Linked DNA regions of Anolis sagrei. The protein of the gene in region 1 binds, or shares a complex with, the protein of each later gene. Links are inferred from orthologs where the notes say so. Each region holds a gene or a part of one and is shown in the gene's direction. Other genes may lie near its edges.

Region 1 (6,997 bases):
ATCCTTCTGCAATGCCAGCAATAAAGATTAATGGTGTAAAGCTTTAAAAAATGACAATTTCGGCTTCCATTTGCAGCCACCTCTCCACAAAAGCAGTCATTGATGCCGAAATACAACACCGTCTGAGCTCTGTGAGTGCAGCATTTTATTCAAATTAAGCAGATAATGTTTAAAGATCAGGGCATTAGTAGGGATACCAAGATGCATGTTTATAAAGCTATTGTCCTTCCAACTCTATTGTGTGTCTGCGAGACATGGAGTGACAAATGTCACTCGACTTCTAGAAAGATTCCATCAGTGTTGCCTTCGAAAAATCCTGCAAATCTCTGAAAATTGGGAAGCCCTGACCCTTAAGCACTGTAAGAGGAGGTCAGCTGTTACCAACAGTGCTGTGGATTTTGAAGAGGCACAAATAGAGGGAGAAAGGGAGAAGCCTGCTGAAAGACAGATACATCAAACAAGCCCTTGTTGGGACTTTTCTTCCATCTAGAAATCGATGTTCTCATTGGAAAAGACCATGTAGATTCAGGATAGGTCTCCACAGTCACTTACAGACCCACAGCCAAGACTCTACCTTTAGAAGACAATCATACTTGGCCTTGAGTGACTTTTACAAGGTCTTTAGCCTTCCCTGTCAAAGACTGATACAACTCCTACAATCCCATAGCATCGAGCCATGGTAGTTAAACTGGTGGCAAAGTGCATGAATTCTACTGTAGATACACACTATAGGCAGATAAACAGTGTGGGAGGCAGGTGGATCTTTCACACTATTTCAAGCCACAATCTTTCGTCAGCATTTGCATTCGTGGCTATGAAGCCACTATTCTGGATCAACCTGCAGTGCCAGTTCCTGTGTGAACCTACTCCATGAATCCATCATTAACTTCCAGCAAACTGGTCTGTTGGGGAAAAAATCAGATCAGAATGAATTTAGGCACCTTCTACACAGCCATTATCAAAGCAGATAATCCACATTATCTGTTTTGGATTATCTGCGTCTACACTGCCATATAATCCAGTGCAAAGCAGATTTTATATGGCAGTGTAGAAGGGACCATAGTCTCAATGCTGCATCCACACTGTAGAATTAATAGTTTGACAAGTCTTTAACTGCAATGGCTTGATTATATGGAATCATGGGAGTTATAGTTTCACAAGCTCTTCAGCCTTCTCTGGTGCATTATCAAACAACAACATCTATGGTTAGCACTGACTCATAGCAGTTCATGTTGGGTCACAGTGCCTTACTTTTACAGTGTAGATGTATTAAAAGAGATGGAATTGTGGGAGTTGTAGTTTTACAGGAACTTTAATAATCTCTGCCCCAGAGTGCTGGTCCCTCACCAAATTACAACTCCCAGGAATCCACTGCATTGAGCCACAAGTCGCTTCTGACATGATTAAAAAAAGTGAATTGAGCCACGGCCATGGAAGTGGTATCAAACTGCATTAATTCAACAATATAGATGCACTCTCTCTTGCCGACACACACAAAGGCTCTGTAAAAGGACAACTCCCAGGATTCCACAGCATTGAGCCTGACAGTCAAACTCCATGAACTCTACAGCGCAAGGTGTACTCAAAAGAGAAGAGCCTTAAAGGCACAGCTTAATAATAATTATTATTATTATGCTGCGTCTTTGAGGTTCTGCTCTTTTGAGTATACCTTGCACTGTACAGTTTATTATTATTTGATTCAATTCCATCATTGGTTGAGTTCAGAATGCTCTTTGATTGTAGGTGAACTATAAATCCCAGCAACTACAACTCCCAAATGACAAAATCAATTTTTTTGAGTGAAGGACATAGATTGGGTTGTTAGGTGTCTTGGGTCCAAATTTGGTGTCAATTCATCCAGTGGTTTTTGAGTTCTGTTAACCCTACAAACCAACATTACATTTTTATTTATATAGACGACATTTATATGCCACCCTTCTCACCCCGAAGGGCGTTACAGTTCTGACTGTTGCTACGTGGTCCTTATACAGATTCCTCAGGAGAGAGGCAAGGGGATTTGGTATGCCCATACCACCACCACCACGGGGAATAACATTGCTTTAACTATGAGTTGAGTCCCACAACCTATGCAGTATGGAAGTTGTTGTTGTTCATTCGTTCAGTCGTTTCCGACTCTTCGTGACCTCATGGACCAGTCCACGCCAGAGCTCCCTATCAGCCGTCACCACCCCCAGCTCCTTCAAGGTCAATCCAGTCACTTAAAGGATACCATCCATCCATCTTGCTCTTGTTTGGCCCCTCTTCCTTTTTCCTTCCATTTTCCTCAGCATAATTGTCTTCTCTAAGCTTTGCTGTCTCCTCATGATGTGGCCAAAGTACGTCATCTTGGCCTCTACTATCCTTCCCTCCAATGAGCAGTCAGGCTTTATTTCCTGAAGTATGGACTGGTTGGATCTTCTCGCAGTCCAAGGCACTCTCAGCACTTTCCTCCAACACTACAGTTCAAAAGCATCTATCTTCCTTTGCTCAGCCTTCCCCAAGGGTTTTATTGGTTTTAACGGGTATAGATGTAATGTATTGTTGTCGATTGTTAAATTGTGTTATTTGTTTTATTGCTGTGGTATGTTACGGGCATCGAATTGTGCCTTGGATGTGTAAGCCGCCCTGAGTCCCCTTCGGGGTGAGAAGGGCAGGGTAAAAGTAAACCAAATAAAGAAAGAAAGAAGTAAGGTCCAGCTCTCACATCCGTGAAAGAAGAAAGCGCAAAAGCCGGGTTGCAGCTAAACATCAAAAAAACCAAGATTATGGCAGCAAGAATGATTGACAACTGGAAAATAGAGGGAGAAACCGTGGAGGCCGTGACAGACTTTGTATTTCTAGGTGCAAAGATTACTGCAGATGCAGACTGTGGCCAGGAAATCAGAAGACGCTTACTTCTTGGGAGGAGAGCAATGTCCAATCTCGATAAAATAGTGAAGAGTAGAGACATCAGACTGGCAACAAAGATCCGCCTAGTCAAAGCCATGGTATTCCCTGTAGTCACCTATGGATGTGAGAGCTGGACCTTAGGGAAGCCTGAGCGAAGGAAGATCGATGCTTTTGAGCTGTGGTGTTGGAGGAAAGTGCTGAGAGTGCCTTGGACTGCGAGAAGATCCAACCAGTCCATCCTCCAGGAAATAAAGCCTGACTGCTCACTGGAGGGAAAGATACTAGAGACAAAGTTGAAGTACTTTGGCCACATCATGAGGAGACAGGAAAGCCTAGAGAAGACAATTATGCTGGGGAAAGTGGAAGGCAAAAGGAAGAGGGGCCGACCAAGGGCAAGATGGATGGATGGCATCCTTGAAGTGACTGGACTGACCTTGAGGGAGCTGGGGGTGGTAACGGCCGACAGGGAGCTCTGGCGTGGGCTGGTCCATGAGGTCACGAAGAGTCGGAAACGACTGAACGAATGAACAACAACTCACATCCGTAGGTTACTATGGGGAACACCGCTGCTTTGACTATGTGGATCTTCATTGCCAGTGTGATGTCTCTACTCTTCACTATTTAAACAAGATTGGACATTGCTCTCCTCCCAAGAAGCGTCTCCTGATTTCCTGGCTGCAGTCTGCGTTGGCTGTAATCTTTGCACCTAGAAATACAAAGTCCGCCACGGCCTCCATGTTTTCTCCCTCTATTTCCCAGTTGTCAATCATTCTTGTTGCCACAATCTTGGTTTTTTGATGTTTAACTGCAAGCCAGCTTTTTCGCTTTCTTCTTTCACCTTGATTAGTATGGATTAGTATTGAGTATGGAAGAAGGGCCCTCAAAGCCAAGTAACTCTGCCTGCAGTTCCACCAGAAGCCTTTAGGTGGCAGGCACGGGGCTTGACAGGAGGCGCTTCCCTTTCGTGGCATTGTAAGGGTTGTGGGTTCTTTTTCTCTTCCCGGCACCCTTTGCGCTGCCGCGGCCCCTGACGGGACCTGTAGTCCCTTGTGAGCTGAAGGCGGCGGGCTGGCTTCCCAGCGTGCCGCGCGCAAAGCCCGCGCGCTGGCTGGCCGCCTGTCTGGTTGTCGCGCGCGCCGTGAGGAGGAGACGAAACAGAGGCAGAGGCGGCGGCGGCGGTGAGGTGGACTCCCTCCGAGCAGGCAGGCAGAGGAGGGAGAGAGAGAGGCGGCTGAGGGTCCGACCATGTCGGGCGAGGAGGAGACGTCCGAGCTGACGATCGCGGAAGACGTGGTGGTGAACAAGTACAAGATGGGGGGAGAGATCGCCAACCGTGAGTGCCTGCCTGCCGGTGGGGGGCGCGGCCTGGGCCCGAGGCTCTGGGATCCTGGGAGTTTGGCCGAGGAGGGGGAGGGGGAGGAGGGCGAAGGGAATGGCGGCAAGGCGGGGAAACAGTCTCTCTCTCCCTCCCTCCAAGAGGAACCCGAGGCGGCCCACGACCCGCCAAGTTGGGCTCCTTTCAACTCCAGGAAGAATGAGATACAGATACACTGTCTGCGTGTGTTTTAAGCCCCCTCACACCATAATCCTCGATGGGTCCTTCCTCGAAAGCCCAGTTGTCCTTGGAGAAGAGAGAAAGAAGGAAGGAAGGAGGAAGGGTTGGACGACTCGGCCGCACATGGCGCGCTCTTCACGTGTTCAACCCTCTCCTTGCTACACTGAAGAAGAAGCCCACTTTGACTCCTGTGGAATCCTGGGAGTTGTAGTTCCACAAGGTCTTTGTGTGTATGTGTAGAGGGGGCGCCTCCAGACTGTCGAATAACTTCAGTTGGCCTCACTTTTTACCTGCCACGGAATCCTGGGAGTTGTAGTTTTGATAAGGCCTTTGTGTCCTAAACCAGTGGTTCTCAACCTATGGGTCTTCAAGTGTTTTAGCTTACAACTCCCAGAAATCCCAGCCAGTTTACCAGATGTTTGCTGAGAGTTGAAGGCCAAAACATCTGGGGACCCACAGGTTGAGAACCTCTGGTGTATGGGGAGTGTGTCCCCACGTGGGCGAAATAATACAGTTTGACCCTCCCTGGCTGAACTCTATGGAATCCTGAGAGTTGTAGTTTTCATAAGAGCTCTGTGTGTGGAAGAGAGAGAGAGCATGCCTCCATACTGTAGAAGTATTGCCCTTTGACCGCCCCACTTTTAACTGCCATGGCTCCTTATTATGGGGTGGCGGGAGTTGTAGTTTTGTTGAGGCACCAGCAGTTTTTGGAAAAGAAAGCTTCAAAACCTTGTAAAACTACAACTCCCGTGATTCCATAGTAGGGAGAGTCCTGTCGAATTGCCTTAGTTCTACAGTGTGTAGAATAGATTCACTCTGTCTTTCCAGAAAGGCATGCTAGTACTCTTGACTTTATTAGCAGTATATTACCAGCCATTTGGGTGTGCTGGGGGTGGATTCCCAGGCCCCTTCCACACAGCTGAATAAAATCCCACCTTATCTGCTTTAAACTTGAATATATGGCAGTGTGGATTCAGATAACCCAGTTCAAAGCAGATATTGTGGGATTTTCTGCCTTCATATTCTGGGTTGTGTGGAAGGGGGCCCCAGTCTCCTCTTCCGCTTCCCTTTCTTTAAAGGAGAGAAGGGGGGTTGCTTTTGGGGAGAAGCTAGTTGAGTGAGCTCCCTCCAGGCGCACATGGTCTGGCCCTTGCCATGTGGAGCTGGCTGGTGCTCTCTCCTTTCACTAGGAGTCCTGGCTCCCTCCCAGGTGGCTCCTTTTGTTGAAAGAAGAACTTCTGCTTGGGATCAGATCACCTCCTTTTTTAAAAAAAAATCCCTATTGTAATCTAGGAAGTTGATGATCAGGCATACAGGGAGCTAGAGCAAGGGAATCCCTCTCTTGTAGCTCATCCAGGACTTTGCTCACTCACTATGTGATAAATATAGAGAGAGCGTTTGCTTGCAGTTCACTTGTAGGCCAAAGCACTCTCAATGGGTGGTAAACACGTGCGCCCGGATTGGGTGATTGCATACCTTCCCCTGCTGGGCTTAGTTTTAAAATGGTGATTTATACTTTTGCTCTCTTCTCTCCCACCACCCACTTAATTTTGTTCTATCAAGGATTATGACTAGTAGCTCTCCTTTAAGAATACTGTTTAAAAATAGGCTAACCCCATGGAGTCCTGCTGATAGATTGAGTGGGGGCGAGAGGTGCTTTGAGTTCTGTCTAAAAGCAGAAAGCAGGATATCAATTAAATAAATAAATAAATATATATATTACACGGTGCTGCCTTGTGTAGCTTCATAAATGAGAGAGCTCAATGCTCTCAACCTTATGCTTAGAATTTAGTTTGAGTAACTTAAACCTCTACATTCACATTTTTTTCTGGTTGAGTTTTAAAACTTTAAGAGAAAATTCTCAAGCTTGGTGAAGTTTCAGAGAGGATATGTTTGTATGATGAAGGAAACATCTCAATTAGATGAATCAGAATTGTCAGGCAGTATTTCATTTTCCTTATACTTCACAGAAACTAAACAGTAGGAGAAGAAGGATGTTTTTATTCTCAGAAGAAGCACCATGTGTGTGTGCATGGGCCTTCATGTTGTCTGTTGATTTCTGGCAACCTCATGAATTTCATAAGGTTTTAAGCAAAACCAATTCAGAGATTGTTTTTTCCCCCAGTTCTTTAATCTGAAATATAGTCTACAGCGCCTGTTAATTCCTTGGTGATCTCCCATCCAAGTACCACATAGGGCTGACCCTGCTTAACTTCCAAGATCAGACATGTTCTGGTGTCTTTAGAGTATTTAGTCTTTGTTTTAGCTTTGTTGTAGGAATAATTAAAAACCTAATAATGGGGTTACAACTAGAGCAGACTCTGAAGTAAGGAATAGAGGTTACTAGCCTGCAAAATAAAAAGATCTTGCTGGGTGAGGAGAGACCAAGGTCTGAATTTCTATGATGGGTTTCTTCCTAGAGTCCTTTTGTTGCTTGCTTATATGAAATTCTAGACACACGAGTGTGCCCTTCTTGATATCTTATGGCTACCAGGCCAGTGCTCTCATTCAAGGCTGAGTTAAAGAGATCTATGTCAGTTGTCAAGGGACTCA
Region 2 (6,955 bases), on another chromosome or scaffold:
GTAAATATACCCACTTAAAAGTTAAAGTTTGTATGCGGCGGAAGTGTGGCGGTGCGACAGGGTATGTGCCAGCGTTCTGATTGGCTGCCACTGTGGTGCTATTTGCATATGGTTTTTTGATTGGCCAGATTCAAGAGGAGCCCCTGGTGGAGAAAAGGGTTCATGACAGAAACGGAGACATGAGAGAAGGAAATTTGCATATTGTCTCTGATTGGCCAGCCTCAATTCCAAGATTCCGAGATGACAAAGAGAGGAAAGGAAAAGGCCAGGGGCTGGGTCAGAAAATTACCAATACAGACCAAACTTGGCACACAAAGCCCCCATGACCCACTCTACATCCTACTGCAGTTTGGAGGAGGATGAACCATGGATGATGGGACTTGCAGTACCATCACTCACATTCTGAGACCGCTGTTAACCTCATCCAATGACTGATCAGGACCAAACTTGGCACATAGACCTCTCATGACCCATTTTACGTCCTGGTGTGGTTTGGCCGGGGATAGACCATGGATTATTGGACTTGCAGTACCTTTGCTCAATTTTTGAGACCACTGCAACCCTCATCCAATTACCGATAAAGACCAGACTTGGCACACTGAGTCTCCATGATGCACTCTACGTCCTGGTGCAGTTTGGAGAAGAATGCACCATGGATGATGGGACTTGCAATACCTGCACTCCCTTCCTAAGACCATTACAACTGCCTACAATGATGGATCGGGACCACAATTCACACAGAGAGCCCGCATGACCCACTCTACATCCTGGTGTGGTTTGGAAGAATTTGGCAATGGATGATGGGACTTGCAGTCACTTCACTCACTTTCTGAGACCACTGAGACCCTCGCCAATGGCTGATCAAGACCAAACTTGGCACACAGAGTCCCCATGACCCACTCTACATACTGGTGCACTTTTGAGGAGGACAGACCATGGATGATGATGGGATTTCAAGTACCTCCACTCCCCAAGACTGCTGCAAAACTCATCTAATGACCAATCAAGACCAAACTTAGCACACAGAGCCCCCATGACCCACTCTACATCCTGCTGCAGTTTGAAGGAGGATGGTTTTTGGATGATGGGACTTGCAGTACCTTCACTCACTTACTGAAACCACAGCCACCCTCATCCAATGACTGATCAAGATCAAACTTGGCACACAGAGTCCCCATGACCCACTCTACATCCTGGTGCACTTTCGAGGACAGACCATGGATGATGGGACTTCAATTACCTCCACTCCCTTCCCAAGACTGCTGCAACCGTCATCTAATGTCTGATCAAGACCGAACTTGGCACACAGAGCTGCCATGACCCACTCCACTGTTTGGAGGAGGATGGACGATGGATGATGGGACTTCCAGTACCTTCACTCACTTCCTGAAACCACAGCAACACTTATCCAAATACCAAGAAAGAACTTGGCAAACTTTGGCCAACTGAACATTCTGATGAGGTTTGGGGGAGAACAGACTTTGGAGGAGGATGTGACTTGCAGTACCTAAACTCATTAACCATTTCTTAAGATTGGCTCTGCATCTCGTGGTGCCAGAGCGCAGTCTGTTCAGCGCCTTCCAAGTCGCCCAGTCTTCTGTGTGCCCAGGGGGGAGTCTCTCACCTGGTATCCCCCACAGAATGAGGTGCTGGGTTTGAGCCTGCCACTTTTGAACTCTTGCTTGCTGAGGTGTACCAGCGAGTATCTCTGTAGATCTAAGAAAACTATTTTTTGATTTGAGTCGTTGACGTGCTGGCTGATACCCAAACAAGGGATGAGCTGGAGATGTCTCTGCCTTGGTCCTTTCACAATCCAATGATTGATCAAGAACAAAACTTGGCACACAGAGCCCCCACGACCCACTCTCCATTCTGGTGCAATTTGGAGGAGGATGGACCACAGATGATGGGATTCGCAGTACCTTCACTAACTTCCTAAGATCACTGCGAGCCATATAAATAACTGATAAAGACCAACCTTGAGACACAATTCCTTTCTCAAATAACACCAAGCTAGTTTTTAATAAATCCGTGTTGACTATTAGCAATGACTGCATTTGTTTCTAAGTGTTTGCAGACCTATTCCTTAACATTTTTTTCCAGAATCTTGCCTGGTATCGACGTGATCTTCCTTTTCCCTCCTTCTTCCCTTTCTGTTTTCCCCTTTCCTCCATCCCCAAAGGGATCCAGGCAAAGAACGCCTTTGGGGGAAAAGAGAATAGAAAGCGGTGCAGTTTTCGGCCATGGCCACACGATGGCAGCAAAGGGCCGTGGCGGGTGAATGAAGAGGGGGCTGCACTTCCCGATGTGTCCACTGGGCGGCCAAGGCAAAGGGATCACCCTGGAGCCCCAAAGGAAACCCAGAGGCGCTCGCTCACAGGCCTGTAGCGAGGGGGGGGGGGGGGGTTGGGGGTTCAACCCCCCCCTGAAATGTTTCAGATTTTTTTTAAAAAAACCTGGTTTACTCATGAATTTTAACTGGTTAACCAAATCCCCCTGCTAAGTCTATGAGATGCAAAAAATTCAGAGTCCCTCCAGAACTGCAAGCACTATCTCAGGTAAATATTGACAATTTATTCACACTGTCATTACTTGCAGCAATAGCCGATGTAGCGAAGCATCCAAGTTGGGGGGGGGGGAGGTTGTTGAATGCTCTCATTAAGGAGGCCAGACTTGGTGGAGGTGGTTGACAGGGGCGGAGCTGCAGGCTATGGAAGACTGCTCTGCCCCCTGCTGTGCTCTTTGCGGGGATTGTGGCGCAGCTGGCTGAGTGTCAGCTGCATTAAGATCACTCTGACCAAAAGGTCATGAGTTCGAAGCCAGCCCGGGTTGGAGTGGGTTTCCAACCAATTGTGTGTAGCCTGTTGTCGACCTTTGCAACCCGAAAGACAGTTGCATCTGTCAAGTAGGAAAATTAGGTACCACCTTAAAGTGTGGGGAGGCTAAATAAAGAAGACTCTGGCAAAGCATTCCAGCGGGGAAGATAAAGGTAAAGGTAGTCCCCTGACATTAAGCCCAGTCATGTCTGACTCTGGAGTGTGGTGCTCATCTCCATTTCTAAGCCGAAGAGCCAGCGTTGTCCGTAGACACTCCAAGGTCATGTGGCCAGCATGACCGCCGTTACCTTCCCGCCGGAGCGGTACCTATTGATCTACTCACATTTCCATGTTTTCGAACTGCTAGGTTGGCAGAAGCTAGGGCTGACAGCGGAAGCTCACGCCGCTCCCCGGAATTGAACCTGCGACCTTTCGATCAACAAGCTCAGCAGCTCAGTGCTTTAACCGACTGAGCCACCGGGGGCTCCTCCAGCGGGGAAGTGTGCGGGGAATGTGGAAGTGCTTCCTCAGCGTCGCAGATGGACGATGAAAGCGACATCTCCCCTGGCGGCCAGAAAAAGTTAAATAGCCTCTGTGTATGTCTGTATATGTTTGTATGTCAAAATTGACATTGAATGTTTGCCATATATGTGTACACTGTAATCCGCCCTGAGTCCCCTGCGGGGTGAGAAAGGCGGAATATAAAAGCTGTAAATGAATAAATAACATAAATAGAAGGCAGGTTTCAACCCCTCCCCCCCCCCCCCAAATTTCAACCCCTCCCGAAAAATTTTTCTGGCTACGGCCCTGCTCGCTCGTCTTTCTCTTTTTAAACTACATTTAAATCTCCTTGTCTGCTCTCTCTTTCAAAAAATACGGGGCCATGTTTGAATTTTCCTTTCAGGGAGTCTCTCTGGTAGGATTTTTCCGTCAGGCACCACAATAGCCGACTAAGCGTGCTTCGCTGTGCATTGTGGGCCTCGTGCTTGGCTTTGGCGCGAAGGCGCTCTGGCGCGCGTTGCATGGTGGGAAGGCGGCGCTTCTCCCCTTGAGCCGGATCTTCTTCCAAGCCGAACAAGGGGGAAAATAGAGGAGAATCGCTGCGCGCGTCTTTCCTAGGCCTCGGCCTCGAGTGGCGAGTAATCGAAAGGGGAGCGTAAGGAAAACGTTTGCAAGCGGAGGGACTTCTTTTTTCTCTTGCGCATGCGCAATTGGAAAGGCGGAGGCATCTGAGGAGAAAGCGTGAGAGAGTGACGTCACGGCGCGCGCGCGCGAGACTGAGAGGATCCTTGCGCGAGGCAGGTAGAGCCGCCATTTTGTGTCGCTCTGAGGGAAGGCGCGTCCGAGGCGGATCCCTCCCAGTCGACTGGGCCCGGCGCCTGCCTGCATCCCTCCTTCGCTTTCTCAGGCCCCGTTCTTGCTTCCCCTCTCTCCCTCTTTCTTTCCTTTCTTTCTTTCCCTCGCTCGCTCCCTCCCTTCCTCTCCCCGCTGCGGGGCCCTTCTCGCCGGCCTTCCCTTTCTCCACGAGCCTCGGCCCCCGCCAACCGCAGCCATTGCCGACCTCGCCATGTCAGGCGGCGGCGTGATCCGCGGCCCGGCCGGGAACAACGACTGCCGCATCTACGTGGGCAACCTGCCGCCGGACATCCGCACCAAGGACATCGAGGACGTCTTCTACAAGTACGGCGCCATCCGGGACATCGACCTCAAGAACCGCCGCGGGGGGCCGCCCTTCGCCTTCGTCGAGTTCGAGGACCCCAGGTGAGGAGCCCCCGCCCCCCCCCCCATTATGTCAAGTCTGGACTGCACAATTCAACCCCTACCAACAGATGGCCACCCAACTTCAGAATCAGAGTTGGAAGAGGCCCTCAAAGGCCATCCTGCCCAGCCCTTCATGGCAAAGGATAGTATAATTCAAGCCCTATCAGCAGATGGCTGTCCATTCTTCGATTCAGAGACTCCCACAGTGGAAAGGGGCCCCCAAAGGCCATCCAGTCCAGCCCTTTATGTCAAGGGACAGTGCAATCCAAGTCCTGCCAACAGAGGGATATCCAGCCTCTAGCTAGATCATATACTCCTAGAGCTGGAAGGGACCCTCAAAGGCCATCCTGCCCAGCCCTTCATGGCAAAGGATAGTATAATTCAAGCCCTATCAACAGATGGCTGTCCATTCTTCGATTCAGAGACTCCCACAGTTGAAAGGGGTCCCCAAAGACTATCCAGTCCAGCCCTTATGTCAAGGGACAGTGCAATCCAAGTCCTGCCAACAGAAGGACATTCAGCCTCTAGCTCAGTGGTTCTTGTCATGCGTTAGCATGAATCATAGAATCAAAGAGTTGGAAGAGACCTCATGGGCCATCCAGTCCAACCCCATTCTGCCAACCCCACTCTGCCAAGAAGCAGGAATATTGCATTCAAAGCACCCCTGGCAGATGCCCACCAGCCTCTGTTTTAAAGCCTCCAAAGAAGGAGCCTCCACAACACCAGGGCAGAGAGTTCCACTGCTGAACAGCTCTCACAGTCAGGAAGTTCTTCCTCGTGTTCAGGCGGAATCTCCTTTATTGTACATTGTATTGTTTGAAGCCATTGCTCCATTGCAGCCTAGTCTCCAGGACATCAGAAAACAAGCTCCCTCCCTCCTCTCTGTGACTTCCTCTCACGCATTTATACATGGCTATCATGTCTCCTCTCAGCCTTCTCTTCTTCAGGCTAAACATGCCCAGCTCTTTAAGCCGCTCCTCATAGGGTTTGTTCTCCTGAGTAGCATGCAGACTGACTCTAGCCCAGTTAACTGTGTGTGTGATGAAATTACTCATAAAAGAAAAACACACGAGACTTCGGCTTAAAGTAGAAAAGAAAAATATTGTAGTATTGGCAGCATACAAAAACAAAATAGCAGGATTACTGTTTCCACAAAAGTAACATGAAACAATATCTTCTGAGAGATATCATTACTCAGCTGAGATAAACAGGAATCCTTGTCCTCTTCTCATGGCTGTGTCTTCGCAGGACATCTGCAGCATAGTCCCCGGCTTACACAAAGCAGAACGGCACAGAGGCATAGATGCACAATAGCATAAACGCACAATGGCAAAGAACTAAACACACAGTAGCTATCTTTATACACATGAAAATAACACTCAATTAACTCTTCAATTAACTGAAACAGCTGTAGCACAAACAGCCTTGAACCTTACAGCAACTTAAAGTTATAGCACAAACAACACTGATCCTTACAACAACTTAGATAAAGTACGTTGCAATCTCTTAGTAGCAACAGTTCTCAACCTGGGGGTCAGGACCCCTGGAGGGGTCACAAGGGAGTGTCAGAGGGGTCACGAAGATCACCGGAAAACACAGTATTTTCTGTTGGTCATGGGGGTTTATGTGGGAAGTTTGGCCCAATTCTGTCGTTGGTGGGGTTCAGAATGCTCTTTGATTGTAGGTGAACTACAAATCCCAGCAACTACAACTCCCAAAATGTCAAGGACTATTTTCCCCAAACTCCACCAGTGTTCACATTTGGGCATATGGAGTATTCGTGCCAAGTTTGGTCCAGATCCATCATTGTTTGAGTGCACAGTGCTTTCTAAATGAAGGTGAACTACAACTCCAAAACTCAAAGTCAATGCCCACCAAACCCTTCCAGTATTTTCTGTTGCCCATGGGAGTTCTGTGTGCCAAGTGTGGTTCAATTCCATCATTGGTAGAGTTCAGAATACTCTTTGATTCCAGGTGAACTACAAATCCCAGCAACTACAACTCCCAAATGAGAGAATCAAGTCACCCCTCCCCCAACTCGTATTCAAATTTGGGCGTATTGGGTATTTGTGCCAAATTTGGTCCAGTGAATGAAAAACACATCCTGCATATCAGATATATACATTACGATTGATAACAGTAGCAAAATGACAGTTATGAAGTAGGAAGGAAAATAATTTTACGGTTGGAGGTCACCACAACATGCAGAATTGTATTAAGGGGTCACAGCATGAGAAAGGTCGAGAAGCTAGATCATATACTCCTAGGGTTGGAAGGGACCCTCAAATGCCATTTGGTCCAGCCCTTTATGTCAAGGTCTCCCATGACCTTCTGGCAAACAAACTAGTCCAATGTGGGCTTGGCAAAACTACGGTGAG

What was found. Proteins that work in one complex are often made in the same cells at the same time.
Region 2: PA2G4 (region 1) and SRSF1 share a complex: the UniProt entries of both Homo sapiens proteins name them as parts of the ribonucleoprotein complex. The link is inferred for Anolis sagrei from reciprocal best matches to the Homo sapiens genes PA2G4 and SRSF1.

The regions. Positions count from the first base shown.
Region 1 is NC_090022.1:146,812,576-146,819,572, forward strand, and holds the start of PA2G4 (proliferation-associated protein 2G4), read left to right. Parts: upstream 1-3,934; 5' UTR 3,935-4,134; coding exon 4,135-4,222; intron 4,223-6,997. UniProt on the Homo sapiens protein: May play a role in a ERBB3-regulated signal transduction pathway. Seems be involved in growth regulation. Acts a corepressor of the androgen receptor (AR) and is regulated by the ERBB3 ligand neuregulin-1/heregulin (HRG).
Region 2 is NC_090031.1:19,485,766-19,492,720, forward strand, and holds the start of SRSF1 (serine/arginine-rich splicing factor 1), read left to right. Parts: upstream 1-3,883; 5' UTR 3,884-4,383; coding exon 4,384-4,577; intron 4,578-6,955. UniProt on the Homo sapiens protein: Plays a role in preventing exon skipping, ensuring the accuracy of splicing and regulating alternative splicing.